Linked DNA regions of Nothobranchius furzeri. The main gene of each other region encodes a partner of the protein of the gene in region 3 in a complex. Links are inferred from orthologs where the notes say so. Each region holds a gene or a part of one and is shown on either strand. Other genes may lie near its edges.

The links.
Region 1: mcm7 (region 3) and cdc45 share a complex: the UniProt entries of both Homo sapiens proteins name them as parts of the CMG helicase complex. The link is inferred for Nothobranchius furzeri from reciprocal best matches to the Homo sapiens genes MCM7 and CDC45.
Region 2: mcm7 (region 3) and gins4 share a complex: the UniProt entries of both Homo sapiens proteins name them as parts of the CMG helicase complex. The link is inferred for Nothobranchius furzeri from reciprocal best matches to the Homo sapiens genes MCM7 and GINS4.
Region 4: mcm7 (region 3) and protein downstream neighbor of son homolog share a complex: the UniProt entries of both Homo sapiens proteins name them as parts of the replisome complex. The link is inferred for Nothobranchius furzeri from reciprocal best matches to the Homo sapiens genes MCM7 and DONSON.
Region 5: mcm7 (region 3) and gins1 share a complex: the UniProt entries of both Homo sapiens proteins name them as parts of the CMG helicase complex. The link is inferred for Nothobranchius furzeri from reciprocal best matches to the Homo sapiens genes MCM7 and GINS1.

What each region holds. Positions count from the first base shown.
Region 1 is NC_091757.1:55,442,734-55,446,249, reverse strand, and holds part of cdc45 (cell division control protein 45 homolog), read right to left. Parts: intron 2,644-3,516; coding exon 2,551-2,643; intron 2,455-2,550; coding exon 2,317-2,454; intron 2,218-2,316; coding exon 2,071-2,217; intron 1,059-2,070; coding exon 1,000-1,058; intron 928-999; coding exon 879-927; intron 802-878; coding exon 740-801; intron 646-739; coding exon 595-645; intron 516-594; coding exon 396-515; intron 324-395; coding exon 192-323; intron 102-191; coding exon 3-101; intron 1-2. UniProt on the Homo sapiens protein: Required for initiation of chromosomal DNA replication. Core component of CDC45-MCM-GINS (CMG) helicase, the molecular machine that unwinds template DNA during replication, and around which the replisome is built.
Region 2 is NC_091757.1:38,273,277-38,277,540, forward strand, and holds the start of gins4 (DNA replication complex GINS protein SLD5), read left to right. Parts: upstream 1-1,449; 5' UTR 1,450-1,740; coding exon 1,741-1,836; intron 1,837-1,954; coding exon 1,955-2,041; intron 2,042-2,897; coding exon 2,898-3,011; intron 3,012-3,095; coding exon 3,096-3,193; intron 3,194-3,266; coding exon 3,267-3,355; intron 3,356-3,460; coding exon 3,461-3,551; intron 3,552-3,667; coding exon 3,668-3,764; 3' UTR 3,765-3,772; intron 3,773-4,035; 3' UTR 4,036-4,264. UniProt on the Homo sapiens protein: Required for correct functioning of the GINS complex, a complex that plays an essential role in the initiation of DNA replication, and progression of DNA replication forks.
Region 3 is NC_091741.1:79,979,116-79,981,457, reverse strand, and holds the end of mcm7 (DNA replication licensing factor MCM7), read right to left. Parts: intron 1,746-2,342; coding exon 1,636-1,745; intron 1,273-1,635; coding exon 1,047-1,272; 3' UTR 513-1,046; downstream 1-512. Other genes in the region: and3 (actinodin3), read right to left, coding at 241-323. UniProt on the Homo sapiens protein: Acts as a component of the MCM2-7 complex (MCM complex) which is the replicative helicase essential for 'once per cell cycle' DNA replication initiation and elongation in eukaryotic cells.
Region 4 is NC_091743.1:80,893,330-80,897,499, reverse strand, and holds the start of protein downstream neighbor of son homolog, read left to right. Parts: upstream 1-1,367; 5' UTR 1,368-1,621; coding exon 1,622-1,972; intron 1,973-2,658; coding exon 2,659-2,727; intron 2,728-3,342; coding exon 3,343-3,543; intron 3,544-3,608; coding exon 3,609-3,793; intron 3,794-3,866; coding exon 3,867-3,942; intron 3,943-4,012; coding exon 4,013-4,115; intron 4,116-4,170. UniProt on the Homo sapiens protein: Replisome component that maintains genome stability by protecting stalled or damaged replication forks.
Region 5 is NC_091752.1:47,394,744-47,398,445, forward strand, and holds gins1 (DNA replication complex GINS protein PSF1), read left to right. Parts: upstream 1-1,227; 5' UTR 1,228-1,336; coding exon 1,337-1,411; exon of another isoform or gene 1,412-1,424; intron 1,425-1,630; coding exon 1,631-1,695; intron 1,696-2,026; coding exon 2,027-2,125; intron 2,126-2,200; coding exon 2,201-2,291; intron 2,292-2,435; coding exon 2,436-2,552; intron 2,553-2,622; coding exon 2,623-2,697; intron 2,698-3,037; coding exon 3,038-3,106; 3' UTR 3,107-3,196; downstream 3,197-3,702. UniProt on the Homo sapiens protein: Required for correct functioning of the GINS complex, a complex that plays an essential role in the initiation of DNA replication, and progression of DNA replication forks.

The DNA.
Region 1 (3,516 bases), on a different chromosome or scaffold from region 3:
ACCCAAATTTATTAGAGGACTCTTCAATGACGTCTCTTAGGTTCTCCTTTATCGACATGTCCATGGATGTATATTTTTGTTTCACTTGTTTCAGAGGTAACCTGTAAACAACAACACAAAAAGAAATGAAGCATCAGATGCTGCCGTCTCTCTACTGCTGACACACGAAGCACCGGTTTGAAAATGCGTACCCCATATCAGCCAAGAACTCTCGCAGTTTCTTCTGGCCGTTTAAAGTCCAAAGCTTAAAGCTACTGGAGGTGTAGCAAGAATTACAGATGCTCTCATACAGAGACCAGTGCTGGTAGAGGCTGAGACGCAGGCTGGATCACGGGGTTAAGAAAAACAGAACGGAAAAAAACCCAAAGATCTGTTAGAAGATAAAGAAAGGATACTCGTATTCAAAGGAGATCCTCATGCAGTCGATGGATAAAGAGTTCTCCTCGTCCTCATTTCGGTGGTTATGTCGGGAAACATGCCGCTGCATCGTTGCGACATCTGTTACGTATTTCATGCTGAAAAGGAAATAAAACTCTAACCACGAGCCATTTGTTGCAAACATTTACAGAAAACCTTTAGAAAGCGAATCCTCACTGTGTGATCTTGTCGTGAATCTGCTGGTCCGTCAGCCCGATGATGGCCCACCTGTAGACGCAAACACGGATTTTAACGGAACGGTGCCGCGTGCATTTCTGTGATCTGGAAGTCGTTTATAGAAATGTTTAATTTGAAAGCTCACCAGAGCATGTCCTTGGTGTCTTTCGTTAGAACCCAGGCGAGCTCGAAAAACATCATCGCAGCCTGAGAGTCAAAGGCAGATGATGGGTTTGTGTATAGTTTATATCAGCTGAAGCTCAGGATCTGAGTTGTGTACTCACAGAGGTCCCGTGGAACTCGAACTGTTCATAGTCGAACAAGATTTCCCTCCTGAGAAACTTCAAAAGGTTAGACACACATCACAGATATCTCACTGTTCAATAAAAACAGACAAAATCTCACCTCCGTGCCTCCCACTCCCTCCTCGCTCTCTGCCTTTCAATTCTCCTCTCAATCGCCCCCTGCCACGACACAATCCCGACACAAGCATTAGGCCCTGTCCACACGTAGCCGGGGATCTGACCAGGCCCACCCATCCACTGATTGGCTGGGAGGGGCTTGGCCTAGAGTCGCTGCTCTTCTAGCCTAGAGAGGTGATGCAGGGTTTTCCCTGTTTATGATGTCACAAACGGGGACTTTCTGAAACTTCTTGCTTAAGGCAAATAATTCCTAAATCCAAATACTTACAGAAAAAAAAATGGACAGATGTTTTTTCACCTGTGGAGTGTTTTTAGAGGCAGTAGAGAGCCACAGGGCAGCACAAAGTGCTCCAAAAGGTGAATTCAGCACAATATGTCCTATGTCCACAAGCCTTAGGTCCTGTCCACACGTAGCCGGGGATCTGCCAAAACGTAGATATTTTTCTACGTTTTGGCCTGTCATCCACAAGAAAACGGAGTTTTTTCACACGAAAACGGATCTTTTTAAAAACTCCGGCCAAAGTGAAGATCTGCGTTTTCTCCGTTTTGGGTGTCTGCGTGTGGACGGACAAAACCGGAGTTTTAAGGTCCGCAACGTCACTTTCCGCGACCAAAAATGCTGACATCACGTGTGCGACCTGTGTTTACACCAGCCGACAGCATGGATGCCTTCAGAGCTGCGCTCGCTTTATCAATTGTCCAAGCGCTTTCTGCTTGTTTGTTTTTGCAAGCAGAATTACTGCTCCTTACGGAAGACCACAGACGAAGGACGAGGTTAAGAACGGGGGAAGTACTGCCGCCTACAGGTCTGGCATGTCCTTAACAACGTATTTATCCGGGTACGTGTGGACAGTTTTTTTTTAAACGAGGTGGTGTGGATGCAAGTTTTTGGAGGGGCAGATATTCGTTTTTAAAAAAAAAACCGGCTACGTGTGGACTAGGCCTAAGTCAGCCTCGCTGTCTTCTTCTTCAATCAATTTCCCTCTGGGATTAATAAAGTATTTTTGAATTGAATTCTGGCATCCTTTCTGCAGCGTCTGCTAATGCTCCTCACTTCATCAAACCTCCTCCGCTTTCCGGACGGCTCTGAGCCTTCGTCGCTGTCGTTTCCAGAGCCGTCATCTTCCTCCTCGTCGTCTCGAAAGATGTCGTCGTACGACGGCACGCCCAGATCGTCGTCCTGTTTGATTAGCAGTTTAATCTGTGGAGGGGACGAATGACGGTTAAGTAGGGAGTAAGTTCAATATGAGGGGATTAAAGTTTGCGGTTAGTCCTCTAAAACCTGATCATCCTACATCACCTGAGTGTCGTTATAGACATTAACCACGTCCACGGGACGGTGAGTATCACAGATGAAGAAGATGGAGTCATCATCTGGCTGCAGCATCTCAAGGAGGTCAACATTCGCCCCGCAGTTGATGAGAACAAAGTATCGAAACTACAAAACAATCAAAACATTTATTTCACAGTTTTTGTCCTAATCAGCCTTCTGTTGTACATATCCACGAGTAGACTCAAGTGTGTTGTTATTGACCTGCTCTTTGTGTTCAAGGAAGGCGGTGGAGAGATCCTGCCAGCCGATCACCGGCACCAGGGTGTACTGAATGTGGTCGCAATGAAACAGCGCCTAATAAAAACACAAACATGAAAGCTTTGAAAATGTTCAAAGCGGAGTCGTGCAACTGGAAATTACGTCGATTAGTATTTAATTTGGTTTTAGTTGAACACAGAGAAACCAGGCCTGAGAGGGACAAGACTCACACCACCTGTTCCACCTCCTGCCCTCTGGCACACGCGACAGGTCCATTTGATCCAAGACAGACTTTATACATCACACAAGATGTATAAATAAAATCACCACCCTGAATCAACCCATGCACCAGTCGCTTTATACACAACAACATACGTAGTTATTTTATCGTGTCTTGTTTTGTGAATTTTACTTACCCTACACTTTCCTCCTGTATTATTTCTATTTTTGTCTTCTTTTTTTCCCTTTAACTCATCATACGAGCTGTAAAGGTAGTTTAAGCAACTTTTTTGTTCAAGGTTTCACCACAAGGTGGCACTGTGACTTTGTGAATGACCTAGAAAGTTTATTTAACATGTTTATTTAAAGTATTATTTTTCTTGTTTTCAATACATTTTGTAGCATTTACAGGTGCACAGAAGTAATAATTGTTGATGTTTGAGTAATTTTGAATTGCTTTATTTGATAAGTTGTGTTTAAAGAGCAAGTCACCCCCTACCAGAGTCTAACTCCACTCCCGCTTCCTGTTTGAAAAATGCAACAAATGCTGTTGCCTGGCAGACTGAGAGGGCGGAGCCGCTAACAAATACACACACACACAGGCTCACGACAGCATTGTGACATCATAATGTACCAGTTTACATCATAGCCTACCTGTTAGCCAATAGCGGTGGCAGATTTAAATTCAAATATAGTGCAGAGTTTTTACCTGACGACGGCACAACACTGACAGTTTTAGAAGAAGAAGAA
Region 2 (4,264 bases), on a different chromosome or scaffold from region 3:
TATATGATGAGAATATTCAAAAATAAATAAAGGTGGTGTAGTGATGGTTAAAGAGGATTGTTGTTGGTGCATTATTTAAAAAACAACTATGCATAATTTCTCTTGCAGTTACACTATTGCAAACATTTAGATGGATGGATGTATATTCATACTGTGGTGTTATTTCACATTATCCCATTTTGTCAAAACATCAGTTATACATCACTCATCTTCCATTGCACTTGTCTTTATTCTGTTTTTTACCCCCCATTGAGTACTGTATGGTAAAATCTGTAAAAATGTATGCAGTGACAAATGCTTTATGTATCTAATACCAGTGTTACAGTTTCTAGAAACAGTTATTGCAAATGTTATTGTTTTTAATGTATTTAAATAAAAATGACAAATGCAATCAAAAATCTGTGCAATAAAAACTTTTCAGTGTAAAACAATCCTCCATCTGCACAGTTTTGACCCTGCAGGTTTCATTTAGAACAGAGTTATGGGTGCCAGCTGTGGTCAGTGGTGCTCATTGTCAGTAGGCCTACTATAACAACAGGTTTGCATGGCAAATGCAAAATCATCAGTAGAACAAATGCTCTGAGAGCAATAAGGAGGAAATAGAAAGAGGAAATCATACAAATGAGATTAGCCCTCAGGCCACTGTTATCTGGAAACAGATGCAACAAGTCAAGCAGATGATGGAACTTATTTCAAATGCAGGGCAAGACTGACTAAGAGATGGTATGTTGAAAAATGTATGTGTGTGTGTGCATGTGTGTGTGAGAGAGACCGTGGGTGACCTAGTGGAAGTTCAGTAATCATAGTTTTGAGATATTTGAGCCCTGGTAGGAGGAGGACAGAATTTTGAATATTCATTCTATGAATATGAGGTACTACAGATAGTAAACAATATTCAAGTAGATATGTCTTTAGACTAAATGTTGTATATAAACATTGGACATTGTTAAATGAATGGGAAATCTGACATACTGCTTTATAAAACATGCAAACCTCGGTACATATTTTTTAAATGGCTTTTTACCAATTTCATGTTATTAAAATAACAAATATTTTAATTCATTATGGTAATGAATGACCACTTAATATTTATTTTCATGTTATTTAGTCAACATCAAAAATGAAACACAATTACCATACAAATAACATTATTATTATTATTATTATTATTATTATTATTATTATTATTATTATTATTATTATTATTATTATTATTATTAACTGTTGTTGATGTTACTATTATTAATGTTGTTATGTTATTATAATTCCTTATTATAATAAAAGCTTGTTCAAAAACATTTTATTTTATTTGCAGGAAATCCAGAGAACCCTGCGTTGTTATTTTTTTACCCTTCGTTATGCATTTCGGACAGGTCAGAATGACCTGACTAATATTACGTGAGTAATCACTTTAGAGTAAATAAGAAAACATTCTCTTATCTCAAAAATACTGCCTTTTTCTATTTACATTTTTTTGTATTTTATTGATCTTTGTGGCTGCGGGAAAGACTTGGCCTTACAGTCAAAATTCGGGGTTTTTGAACAAAATACAACTCTCGCGAGAACGCCAGTGGCGCGAATAAACAAGAGCATTTTGCACCGCAGAAGCTTCAGGGACGACTGTGTAGCTAAACTCGTTTTATTACTTTTATTTAAGTTTCCCATTTTGTTATTTGAAGCCAAAACAATATCGTTTCTAAAACAGCAGTATTTAATTAGCGTACCTTATAAAGTGAAAGCATGTCGGACGCGTTGTCGGATGACGGCAGCGACATCAACCAAGATGACAGCCAGGATGTCATGACTCCGGCGGAGCTGATAGCTAAACTAGAAGAAGTGAGTCTTTTTATTTGATTTATCACGTTTTAAGTCGAACTGTGGGTCTTTGGGTCTGCTGTTTCCTGGCTTTAATGTTGTGCCAGCTGTGCCTTACAGGTGTGTTTGTGACCCGCAGGCTTGGCTGAACGAGAAGTTCTCCCCAGAGCTGCTGGAGAACAAGTCCGAGGTGGTGGAGTGTGTGATGGAGCAGCTGACTCATATGGTAACTACCTGGGGAATACCTCTCAGATTCTCTGTAACACACACAATCACTCTCTAGTTTCATGTTCAACAAGTGCTGGCTGTTTAGTGGAAACGCTGTAGACAGCAGAGCATACCGGAGAAAATAAACACACGAAACTAAACTAACATCATATTTAACATTTATTTAGATTAGTTTCTATTAGTTATACCAAATTAATCAATAAGACAAGCATCAAAATAAAGATTTATATTTAAATAATTGATGCTGATTCTGCCTTTAATTACATTAAACTGCTTTGACTATTCATTAGATTAGTGAAGTGATGATTTAAATGCTTGCCGATAACAAATATTATGTCAGATTATCCTGTGTGAAAAACAGATTTGTGTTTGACTAATTACTAGAAACAACCTCAAAGTGTTTGTTGAAGCAGGCGTGGGAACAATACTTTATGTTCTCTTATTGTGGTAAAAAAAAAACGAAGCGTTTTGATCATTAGCTCCTGTTTCTGCTTTACTCTAGACTTTAAAGGAGATGCTTTACTAATGCAGTGATTACATTTTACATAATAAACTAATACAAGTAGATTATTTTCAGAGTTGACCTTTATATTTATGTTTATGTTTATGTATTTAGCAGACGCTTTTGTCCAAAGCGACTTACAAGTGAATTTTGACCCCAGGGTGTGTAAAATTGTGTCTTCTAAGAGCTCAAGGTGAAATTTTTGCTTTTATTTCTCTTCTATCAGGATATTTATCTACTGGAATCCTGACATTAGATTACTGTGGCTCTTTAATATTCCAGATCTGTGTTATTTGTAGTGTTTTTTTTAAAATAAATTTTTATTTATTTTTTGTGGCATTTCCCCAAACAGGAATCAAACCTGCAACGGGTAAAGAAAGGTGATGCCAAAGCCAGCTTCCACCGAATGGAAATAGACAGGATCCGCTTTGTCCTCAGCAGCTACCTGCGCTCTCGTCTGCAAAAAGTCAGTCGAAGTAACGTAAAGATCTACGCGGTTTCTCTTTTACCTTTAAAAAAAGCACTGATCTGTCACGCTGTCTGTGTTCAGATTGAAAAGTTCTTTCCTCACGTCCTGGAGAGGGAGAAGTCTCGAGTGGAAGGACAGCCATCTCTGCTCTCTCCTGAGGAGTTTGCTTTTGCTAAAGAGTGAGCATAGAGTGACGTCAACTGTTTGATTTAGGATTTTAATAATAAAAACTAATTTTAATGTTGTGTGCAGGTATTACACCAACACAGAAACCTACCTAAAGGCTGTAGCGCTGAAGCGAATGCCACTCAACTTACAGACTGTAGATCTGCTCAAAGCAGGTAAACATTATATTTGCTTCCTTGGAAATTGCCATTTGTGGCATTTACTGCAACACACACACACACGGGCTGATGCACTAAATCCTGTGATTGATCCAATTCCAGTGCCCGAGCCTTGCTTGGACTCCTTTGTGTTTCTGCGAGTGAAGGAGAAACAGGAAAATATTTTGGTGGAGCCTGAAACCGACGATCAGAGGTAGTTCTCCTCATGGTTGCTGTTCATTCAGTATCCAGTAGGTGGCAGTGTTGTCGTTGTACACCTAGTGACATGTTTAAGGTATAAATACTGAAAAATAACACCTCTTCTGTCAGAGAATATATTGTGGATCTGGAAGAGGGCTCGCAGCATTTGATGCGATACCGCACCGTAGCGCCGCTGGTGTCAAACGGAGCGGTGCAGCTGATTTGAAAATCAGGGTGAGTTGAGATCCGTTATAAAAAAAACACATCTCGTTAACTCATTCATGACCTCTCTTGCATAGACATCCGCTAATTCCACTCTGCAGATGTTACATAAGCAAACTCTTTGCTGTGAAATCTGAATTTATTTTTAGCTCCACTGTTTTATCTCTTGGCAACAAAGAAAACTGCAGTATTTAGGTTGGCTGTGGATTAAAATTGACAGTTCTGTAATTACAATGGGCAACGAAATGCAACTAACACTTATTTTTACATTGCAGGTGTTGCTGAGGATGTTTTTTTACTCCAGGAGATCCTACATTTCAGCACTTGTATATATTTGTTTTTGCTGGAGTTGTAATGAAAAAAAGGCAGTTTAGTCTGTTGAAACCACACAGATAAAACCGGGAAACACAAACTGATTCTTTATCATCTGGAGAAAGGACTAACTTGTGTGATTTGAATGTAGATAACATTCATGACACCGTGGGGAGGGATGCTTGTGATGCT
Region 3 (2,342 bases):
TGCAGCACCACCAAACCAGATGTTCAGACACTTCTGTCCTAAAATAAAATGTTTTATTTTATTTTAATTACCTTAAAAGACTCAAAGTCTCTTTTTACACTTTATATTTATTTAATCAGGATCGTTGTCAAGTCGACGCCAGAAACAATGAAACACAACTTGAATATCAGATGAACAACAAGGCTTTATTTAACCGGCATTCATACAAGTTATCAATCATGAACGAAACATTTCTCTTACCGTTGCTTATGGGTGGAGAGCTGAACACCCCAGTTAGAAAACGTAATCCATGATAGGTGAAGAACTGAACACATGTAATCCATGAACCTCGTCAGGTAGAATCCTTCAAGCAGCTCTAACCCCCTGAGCTCTGCTCTGCTCCTTATACATTCCCTGATGTGCGTGCAAAGCTGCACACCTCCACCATGATTACCCTTGATTACATCCTCATGATAAGTGTGATTGACAAACAGTAGTGATCAATAACTTATATAAAGCAATTATACAACAGATGACAAGTTCATTTTTATTACAACTTCTCATGACACCAGGAGCCAAACTGACAGTGATGTTTATTACTGAAGCATTTATTATAACTAATACAAGGTTCAACATCAACATCTCATTACAAACACAATGTACAAGAACTCTCACTGATAAACTGATGCTTTACCCCACTGAACTGCAGATTAACCTTCCCACTGTCCTAATGGGTGTGACCCCGCGAAGAAAGTTGACCATTAAGCAGGGTTGATGGTTTATCCCTTGGGTCCATGTGGCAGGGGTGAGGTGGTGCTCAGTCCTCACCCCTGCCACGTGGACCTCACACCCATTAGGACAGTGGGAGGGTTACACAATGATGTGCTCTGACAAATATTTACAAGAAATCCATTAATTAACAGGAAACCAGTCAGGAACAGGATTTTTCATCATGTCCAGGTATTGAGAGGAAGTCTGCGTTCTGCCCAACTTGGGTTACAAAAGACATGATGCAGAAATAAAGAGAGCTCTAGTCGATGGCTGGGGCGAAGCGTGTCCAGGTGTGTTCATACGAAGGTGATGCGGCTGCGGGCCTGGTTGATCTGCCACACATTTAACTCCTCATACTCCTCCAGAGCCTCCTGGAACTGAGCGGGCGTGAAGCCACGAGAGATGCAACGCTGCTCAGCTTCAGACATGCGAACCACACCGCCTGCCCCGCCACGGCCGATCGTGCCCTCAGTGGCGAGCTCCCGCACCAGAGAGAAGATGACATCAGCTGGACGCTGCGCCCTGCAAGGGAGGAGGTCAGAATCAGGACAAACCAATCAGACGCTGATTAGAGGCATTAGGAACCAAACTGCCAAGAAAAGTTTGTTTTCCAAATAAAAAAAAACAGAAGAGTTTTGTGCATGGAAGGCCTGCTGCTTGAAGCACCAACTAATGACCAAAGTGAACATGCTGCCGTGTGAACCAAGCTCTATAAAACACCAGTCATGTTTTACAGCTTCCTGCAGAGCAGCTACTGCATATTCAGCAAACACAAGAAACCCATAAAAGGGAATTCTGGGTTTAACATCCGGTTCCCTCGTGTTAGGCTCAGGGTGCCTAGATGACCCCCCCCCCACACACACACACACACACACACACACTAACCTGGTGGTGCTGGATTTGTCAGCCTGCAGCGAGTCCTTCGACATCTCCATCAGCCGCATAGCCTCGTTCACATCCTCCTTCTCCACAGTGTCCATCATGCGAAGCCGGGCCTGATGGCAGGCATGGACAAAGTGTGGTGATGATGGCAGTTGTACATAAACACACACAAATATCCGACTGGAGTCATGTAAGAAGGTAGGCTGCGATGTGCCGGCACTGTCAGACCGAGACAAGTGCAATGCCCTCTGGAATGGCCGGCAATTGCTCAAGTCTCCGCCTCTCAAAACCAGCTAGTCTCTCCACAGGTTAAAAACTAAACCACACGAGATGAATGAGTCTTTTCAATCTACTCTACATGTAGAAGCTTGTGTTGACAGTTCTCGTCATAGTCAGTTTTGCATGGGTTTGCACAGCTGGTCCTAATGCACACAGGCTGACTGCCCACCCTGCAAAGCTGACCAGGATTAGAAACAATCAATCCCACTTGTACATTTCTTTGTATCAAACAGAACATGAATACTAAACTGAAGAGCAGCTGTGATCGTGCGACATCCCTGCTGCTGAGAGTGCCCCCTTGTGGACGGTGGTGTGCAGCACATTGCCTGCTTGTTTACCTGAAGTGCTGGTTTTGCAGTAGGTGGATGACTGCTACCTGCACAAACAGCACTTTTGACAACCAGAGGCAGAGACACCCCCCCCCCCCCCCC
Region 4 (4,170 bases), on a different chromosome or scaffold from region 3:
GCCTTACAGCCCCACCCTCAGCTCCACCTCTCTTGCCTTTTGTGGAATTGTCTGGGCTTGACGGTACCTGTGACACGGTCAAAATGGCGGTGGTGGCCACCTCCCATTTTGGCACAAAAATGTGTTATTGGAGCCTATGGAAATGAATTGTCCAGTATATATGTTGATGGTCGGTACTGTTGGCCCAAAAAGAATGTCCGCCAACCACTGTACGCCTGATAGAGAGCCCAGCAGTGGCACTGATGCACAATTAATAGTTATTAATGAAATATCTCACTAAAGAGCCTCCAGTTCAGATGCTAACGCTAGCATGAATGTACAAAGATGAAAAACGAAAACGTTATCCTACATGACAAATCTAAAATTCCAGTCATTAAAAATAAATATTTAACTTTCCACCATAATTTAAAAATGTTTTTTTATTAAAACTATCATAGCTGGAGTGTTAAAAAATAAAAGTGCCATAAGATATTTGGAAGTTGTTATTTTATTTCTATTACCCAACAGTAATCCAATTCATGTTTGTTCTGTTTTTGTTTTTGTTTTTTCCTCTAGGAATCATTGAGGCGTGACATCCTTCAGAGGTTTTACGATCGACTGTCAAGCATCTTGGAGAGGCAACCTGTTGATGGGGAAGGGCTACAGTTTGCTTGTCACCATTATTTAGTTTTATTAGGTGCTCTAGGTGACATTGTTGATGTGGGAGGGAGAGGATATACTTTCTGCTCTTTCCGATCTGAATACTATTATCCAGAAGGAAAGAGATAATCAAAAGACATTAATAAAAGTACACGTTGAAAGAGGTTCTCGTGGCCGTCAACGATTGGCGGTGTCGCGAGAGGCTCTCAAACACCTTGTGGAAATGGGTCTGCCAACAAGTGTCATTACCAAACTCCTTGGTGTATCCAGAGCAACTCTATTTAGACGGATGTCTGAAAATAATATATTTATTTATATATTTGTATCTGCCACATACAGTAAATGCAGTGATGAGGAACTACATCATTTTATCACAGTAATTAAGAGCAACATGCCAGATGCTGGGTACAGGGTAGTCCGAGGTGCTCTACTTGCCCAGGGACATAGAGTACAGTGGGACCGACTGTATGCATCCATGCATCGTGTGGACAGTGCGGTTGTACTTGCTCGAATGACACATCTGGGATGTGTAGTGAGAAGGACGTACACACAGTTCCTTGCCCAAAGTATATGGTGCACATTGACACCAATCACAAGCTTATCAGGTAATGTCTGTGTGTAATTGGAGATGTTATTTTTTGTTTTGGGAGTTACATTTTTAATTGTCTGTGTTTTAACGTTCTGTTCCATGGTGAAACACAGAGCTGTGAGGAGGGTGACTCACCTCGGACCATGGCAGCAGGGCAAGACCAGAATCTACTTTTAGCTTTGGTTGGCTGCACTGACCGCCCTCCTACCCAGCAGGCAGCGCTGGCGCACCAGAACGATGTTACCATCTGCCAGTAAACACACGAAGAAGAAGAAAACAATGACACCAAAGAAGAAGCTGCGCGCGAAATTTGGAGCGGCCAGACTGCAGTGTAAACAAACACAGTGTTCAGCCTTATTTCTCTCTTAGCTCAGCTAGCTGTAGCGCTTCCGCATGGCCCAGGAGACAGGGTACTCACCGAGCTTCAAGCGGCCGGCAGAAATCATTCGTCTGAGGAGAAAAAGAGCTCGAAGCACGGTTTTATCGAGCAGTGAGGTGGTTTTGAGTTCCGGACCGAGCAGTTCGTTATGCGGTCGAATCTCCTCCCCAGAACCGCTCCTCAATGAGCAGAGCTGTTCTAGAAACGACGTTAAACGGAGAAACCCGTTTGCTAACCGTGAAAACACCTCCGTCCCCGTGGTCTGCGACGAAGATGGCGGATATGTCCAGACTCGGAAGAAAGTAAAGCAGGAGAAGGAGGCGGAAGAGAAGACGTCGGCAGCGGTCAGCGGCTGCTCCACTCAGGTAGGAGGAGGCGACGACCCTCCTGGTAGACCTGGACAAGTCACACCTGGATTCATGTCAGGTTCTACAGACAGCTGGTGTTAACGACGTATTATTATTATTGGGGTATTTAGGTTAGTGATGCAGACAGGTGATCCAGCCCAGGTTGCTGTCACATGTGGTCCAAAACCTGAGTATGAGCTCCACAGATCTGCTCTGAAGGAGGTGGGAGGACAACTACATCCATCCAGCATCCTCATTTACTTCCATAAACTCGGATTTGCTGGTGTCCAACTCTAGCAGTCATTGAGCAAGAGATGGGAGACACCTGGACATGTCTCCAGTTCATGATGGAGACACAGCCAGTCACAAACTCACCAGGGACAATTCAGTTTGATGTGTGTGGGATTAAACCAGAGCACGCTAACACCACTCAGTAAAGCTACAGTCAGGATTTGAACCTGCAACCATCCCGATGTGCAGCAGCAGTGCTGCACCACAGTGCAGCCACGTTTAAACCGTAAACGGATAAAACATGTAGCAGTGGGAGAAAATAGCTTCTCGATGAACCAATGAATGAAATGCTGTAGTTCGATCACCGGGACAGCTCCTCATCAGAACCCAACCCTGAGCTGCTGAATCCCCATCAAACCAACAAAAGCAGGATGATCAGCTGTTTTTATTCAGTGTTTGTTTTTCTGCTGCAGAAATGTCTCTCTGAGGACGACTCTCTGTCTGGACCAGAGGACGAACAAGTTCTGAGTCCACTGCTCAAGGTAGGTTTATAATAAATGTGGTGCGTGGGCGACGGTGGCACAGGAGTTAAGAGCTCGCCCCGTAATCGGAAGGTTGCGGGTTCGTGCCCCGCTCAGTCTGTCGCTGTCATCGTGTCCTTGGGCAAGACACTTAACCCACGTTTCCTGCTGGTGGTGGTCGGAGGGACCGGTGGCGCCAGTGCTCGGCAGACTCGCCTCTGTCAGTGCGCCCCAGGGCAGCTGTGGCTACATTGTAGCTCATCCCCACCAGTGTGTGAATGTGTGTGTGAATGGGTGAATGACTGATTGTGTTGTAAAGCGCCTTGGGGGGTTCCAGAACTCTAGAAGGTGCTATATCAAATACAGGCCATTTATTTGACCATAAACAAATGCAAAGTAGAGATGAACCATTAAACACTTTAGACACGCAGACTACATAGTGGGAATGTGTTGATATTACATAACGTTTTTATTCTCCCTTCACCTTCCTGATGAAAGTAGTCCCTTCCTGTTTCCCCACCCAACATGGCCGACGTAAACCCCGTTGAGCCACCAGTCAGAAACGGGTCCATGAAAAAGACCCAGATGAGGTGAGGCTCATCCCTGATTAATGTGTCCTTCCTGTGTGTTCTCCAGAGCCCCCGCACCATCGCCTCCTCCTCCATTGCTCCTCCCAGCTGCACTCGGTACCCGACAGACTGGAGCTTGAAGACCCGGCTGCTCTTCACCTCCCCCCACTCCCTCTCATGGGCCGAGCAGCCCAAAGCCCAGGAAGAAGCTTTAGGCCTGAGCCGCAGCTGCAGAGCCCAGTTTAGCTCTCTGCCACAACACGCACAGGTAGGTTCTGTCAGCCACTCACACACACACACGTCTCTTGACTAACGCAGCACCCCATCTGCCAGTGGCAGGATCCCCAGTTCTGCTCAGAGCTCCGCTGTGCCTTCCAGCAGTGTTTGGTGTACTGGCAGCACCCCTCCCTGCCCTGGCTCTCTCTCTTCCCCCGGATCAACGCGGAGAGGAACTTCTCGGGGAGGAGCTCGCCCTGGGCTCACGATGCAGCTCTGCAGCAGAGCCTGATGAGGGACTGGTGAGCATCTGTTCCTCAGCAGGAAGGAGATTACAACTTTGATCATGAGGATTTTCTGTTCTTCTCATTTCAGGTCCATCAGCCTGTCGTCTCTCTACAGCCTTTTAAAGTCTGGACTGTGTCCATACTTCTATGTCTGCTCCTATCAGGTGTGTTTGTGTCCACTGAGAGCTCTCCTCAGTAAGCCACCTGTCTCTAATGTCCTCTGCTGTCCGATAGCTAACGGTTCTGTTCAGGGCGGCGGGTCTCAGCGGGTCGGGCTGCATCACTGCTCTGGTCTCTCCGACGACTCGTGGCCTCAGAGAAGCTATGAAGTCTGAAGGTAAAGTTTCTGGTTAACACAGGGTATCCGCGGGTCCTTAAAAAGTCTTAAATTT
Region 5 (3,702 bases), on a different chromosome or scaffold from region 3:
GTGGGCCGTTCCTCCCAATCACACCCCTCCAGGTCAAGCTGTCATTGCCCACGTGAGCATTGAAGTCCCCCAGCAGGACAATGGAGTCCCCTGATGGAGCACTATCTAGCACTCGTCCCAGGGACTCCAAAAAGGGTGGGTACTCTGAACTGATATTTGGCCCATAAGCACAAACAACAGTCAGGACCCGTTCTCCGACCCGAAGGCGCAAGGAAGCTACCCTCTTGTCCCCCGGGGTAAACCCCAACACACAGGCAGAGAGTCTCTGGGCTAACAAAAAGCCAACCCCAGCCCTCCGCCTCTCACCCGGAGCAACTCCAGCAAAGTAGAGTGTCCAACCCCTCTCCAGGTCTCGGGTCCCAGAGCCAATGCAATGTGTCGAGGTGAGTTCGACTATATCTAGCCGGTACCACTCAACCTCTGCCACAAGCTCCGGCTCCTTCCCCGCCAGCGAGGTGACGTTCCATGTCCCAAAAACTAGTTTTCTTGTCCGGGGATTGGACCGCCAAGGCTCCCGCCTTGGTCTGCCACCCGATTCGCATTGCACCGGACCCTTCATGTTCCTCCTGCGGGTGGTGGGTCCACAGTTGGACGAGCCCATGTATCCGGTTCGGGCTGGGCCCGGCCGGGCCCCATGGGCGAAAGCCCGGCCACCAGGCGCTCGCTCACGGGCCCCAACCCCAGGCCTGGCTCCAGGGTGGGACCCCGGTAACCCTCCGGGCCGGGTACTCCGACTCTTCGTTTTAACCGCCATGAAAGATCCTTCGAACCGTTCTTTGTCTCACCCTTCACCTAAGACCAATTTGTCATGGGAGACCCTACCAGGGGCACTAAGTGCCCCAGACAACATAGCTCCTAGGATCATTAGGGCACTCAAACTCCTCCACCACGATAAGGTGACGGTTCAAGGAGGAGAAAATCTAACTAATTACTGTAGCTTACAATTAAATGTGTTAATGAAAGATTAAATGCTTTGTGGAGTGAAATAACAGGAATTTCTCGGCCAAACCCATCTTATTTCATAGACACATCTTTGGCGTTTATAACAAATTAAGCCTTTTGAAAATCGGTTGAAAATTGAGCAAGTTAGAGTTGCTTGAGAAAGGGGGGCAGCGGTCTGAGGTAAGATGGCCGCCACGTTCCTACGTCGCATCCCATTGACGAACAGTGGGGACGAGGCATCTAGTGTTTATACATACATATCTATGCCGGAGCCGATCTGGTACCGACAACGGATCTACGTCACCGGGTCACGTGATCAACAAAGCTTTTCCCGCCAACACCGTTCGGTCTTCACGGAGGAGAAACGGATAAGTTTTCTGATCGAGAGTTCGGGATGTTCTGCGAGAAGGCCATGGAGATGATCCGGGAGCTGCACCGGATGAGCGACGGACAGCTGCCCGCTTTCAACGTGAGGAACGCGGGTAACGGTCGCAGCAGCTGACTCCGTGTACAGCCAAGCTGGTTTAAGGTTGTTCAGATGTTGCCAACAGAAGCAGAAGTCTTAAGAACCAGTAGACCAAAGGATAGCTTAAACGGAACACCGGCTACAGTTCGGCTCTGATTTAACCCGGTAGCATGCTGTTCTACTGTTCCTTAAACCAGAACCCACATGCTGGCTCTGTTTCAGGAGGACGGGCTGCGCCAGGTTCTACAGGAGATGGAGGCTCTGTACGAACAGAACCAAGCTGACGTGTGAGTTCAGGCTGCTTCTGGTTCTAGGGTTCGGTGGACCGACATCTGAACGCTACTAAACTGTAAAAGATCAAAAAGATGCGGCTTCAACCACAGAGTTCGGGTTCTGGTTTTGTTTATCTACAGAAACCCTCCTCATATACTGAGGCCTCTCCTGTTTGACCTGACCTCTGACCCCACATCACCTGTAGAGAAAAGGTCAAACTGGTTCAAGAGCCTTTTCATGCATGAAGGATGAGGGGTCCAGAGGTCAGATACTGGTTCTGGACTGGCCTGAGTCCAGATGACCCGTATGTGACCTTACAGTAAGTCAGCTGATCTTCTGTTTCAGGAACGAGGCCAAGTCCTTCGGGCGCTCAGACCTCATCCCCTCCATCAAACTGCGTCACTGCTGCCTGCTGAGGAACCAGCGCTGCATCACTGCCTACCTGTAACTCCGCCCACAGTCATGTGACCAGCCTCACCTGCAGTCACTACGGTTTTTTTTACCGTTTGTTGTTTACAGGTACGACCGCCTGCTGAGGATCAGAGCGCTGAGATGGGAGTACGGCAGCGTTCTACCCGCCAACGTTCGCTTCCACATGTCTGCAGAGGAGGTCGGTGTGACATCACCTCCTGTTTTAGACTTCCTGTTGCTGCTTCACATAGAAAGCAAACTTTTCAATTCCTTGAAACTTTTATTTTGAAAGTGTCAGTGTTGTATTAGAACAGCTCAGTGTGTGTGTGTGTGTTGCTTTCAGGTGCAGTGGTTTGGTCAGTATAAAAAGTCTCTTGCTTCCTTCATGCGTTCCCTTGGTGAGGGGGAGGGGCTTGACATCACACAGGACATCAAGCCTCCAAAGAGTCTCTACATCCAGGTGAGTCACACCTGCCTGACCTCTGACCTACGGTCTGTCCTCATCATGCTGATGTCATGTTTGTTTCCAGGTGAGGTGTCTTAAGGACCATGGAGAGTTTGAGATCGAGGATGGAACGGTGATCTTGCTGAAGAAGAACAGCCAGGTCAGAATAGGATGCAGTTTGGATGAACACTCACTCACACACACACACACACACACGATTGGGCCGACAGCATGACATCAGAACCAGACCGTCCTCACAGCCTCAACAGGAAGCTCAGGATCAGGTGTATTGATTACCTGATCACCAGCAGCAGGAGCTCTCTGGAGCATACAGGTGTGTGTTGACATGTAGAGGAAGCAGCTGTGGATCTGGGATGGACCCACACTCACATTATTCCCAGGAGATGAATCCTGTGGCCCGTGTGTGTGTGTGCGTGTGTGCATGTGACGTGAAGCCTTAGAACGCAGCAGCTCACAGGAAGTTGTGTTTGTGTTCTCAGCACTTCCTGCCTCGGTGGAAATGTGAGCAGCTGATTCGCCAGGGCGTCTTGGAGCACGTGGTGTCGTGACGAGAGAAGATTGTGTGTGTGTGTGTGTGTGTGTGTGTGTGTGTGTGTGTGTGTGTGTGTGGTCACAACAAATAAAAGTGTTGTACCCATTCTGTGGCCTCTGTTGTGTCTCTGTGGTCCTGGAAGTGAAGAAACTCACGTGTCAGGTGCCATAGAAAGATGACAAGCAGCTGATAAAAACATAATGAGTCACACTTTGGTCCACAGGTGAGCTTTGGTGTGTTGCACCTGAACAGGTGAGAAATAGAGCAGCAAACACACTGATGCTGCCTGCTGTAACGTCCAGAAATGGTCAGTTTTCACCTACATATTGACCGACACAATGTCCGGTCACCTACAGACCTAATTCCACTATCTGAGTGGAGTTTCTATCCTGCCTTCTAAAGCCCAGAAGATTCTGAAGCCCTTGTTGACATTCAGGGGGAACAAGATGCCAGCCTATGTTCCCAAACAAAGCCTTCTTTTGATAAGACCACAGGATTGCTCACTCTCATGAAATAACTTTTACAACTCGTAAGTTAAAAAATAATATGGTTGAATGAACAAATGTTATATGTATAATAATGTTGATGTTTGAATAATCGGTGCCTAATTCA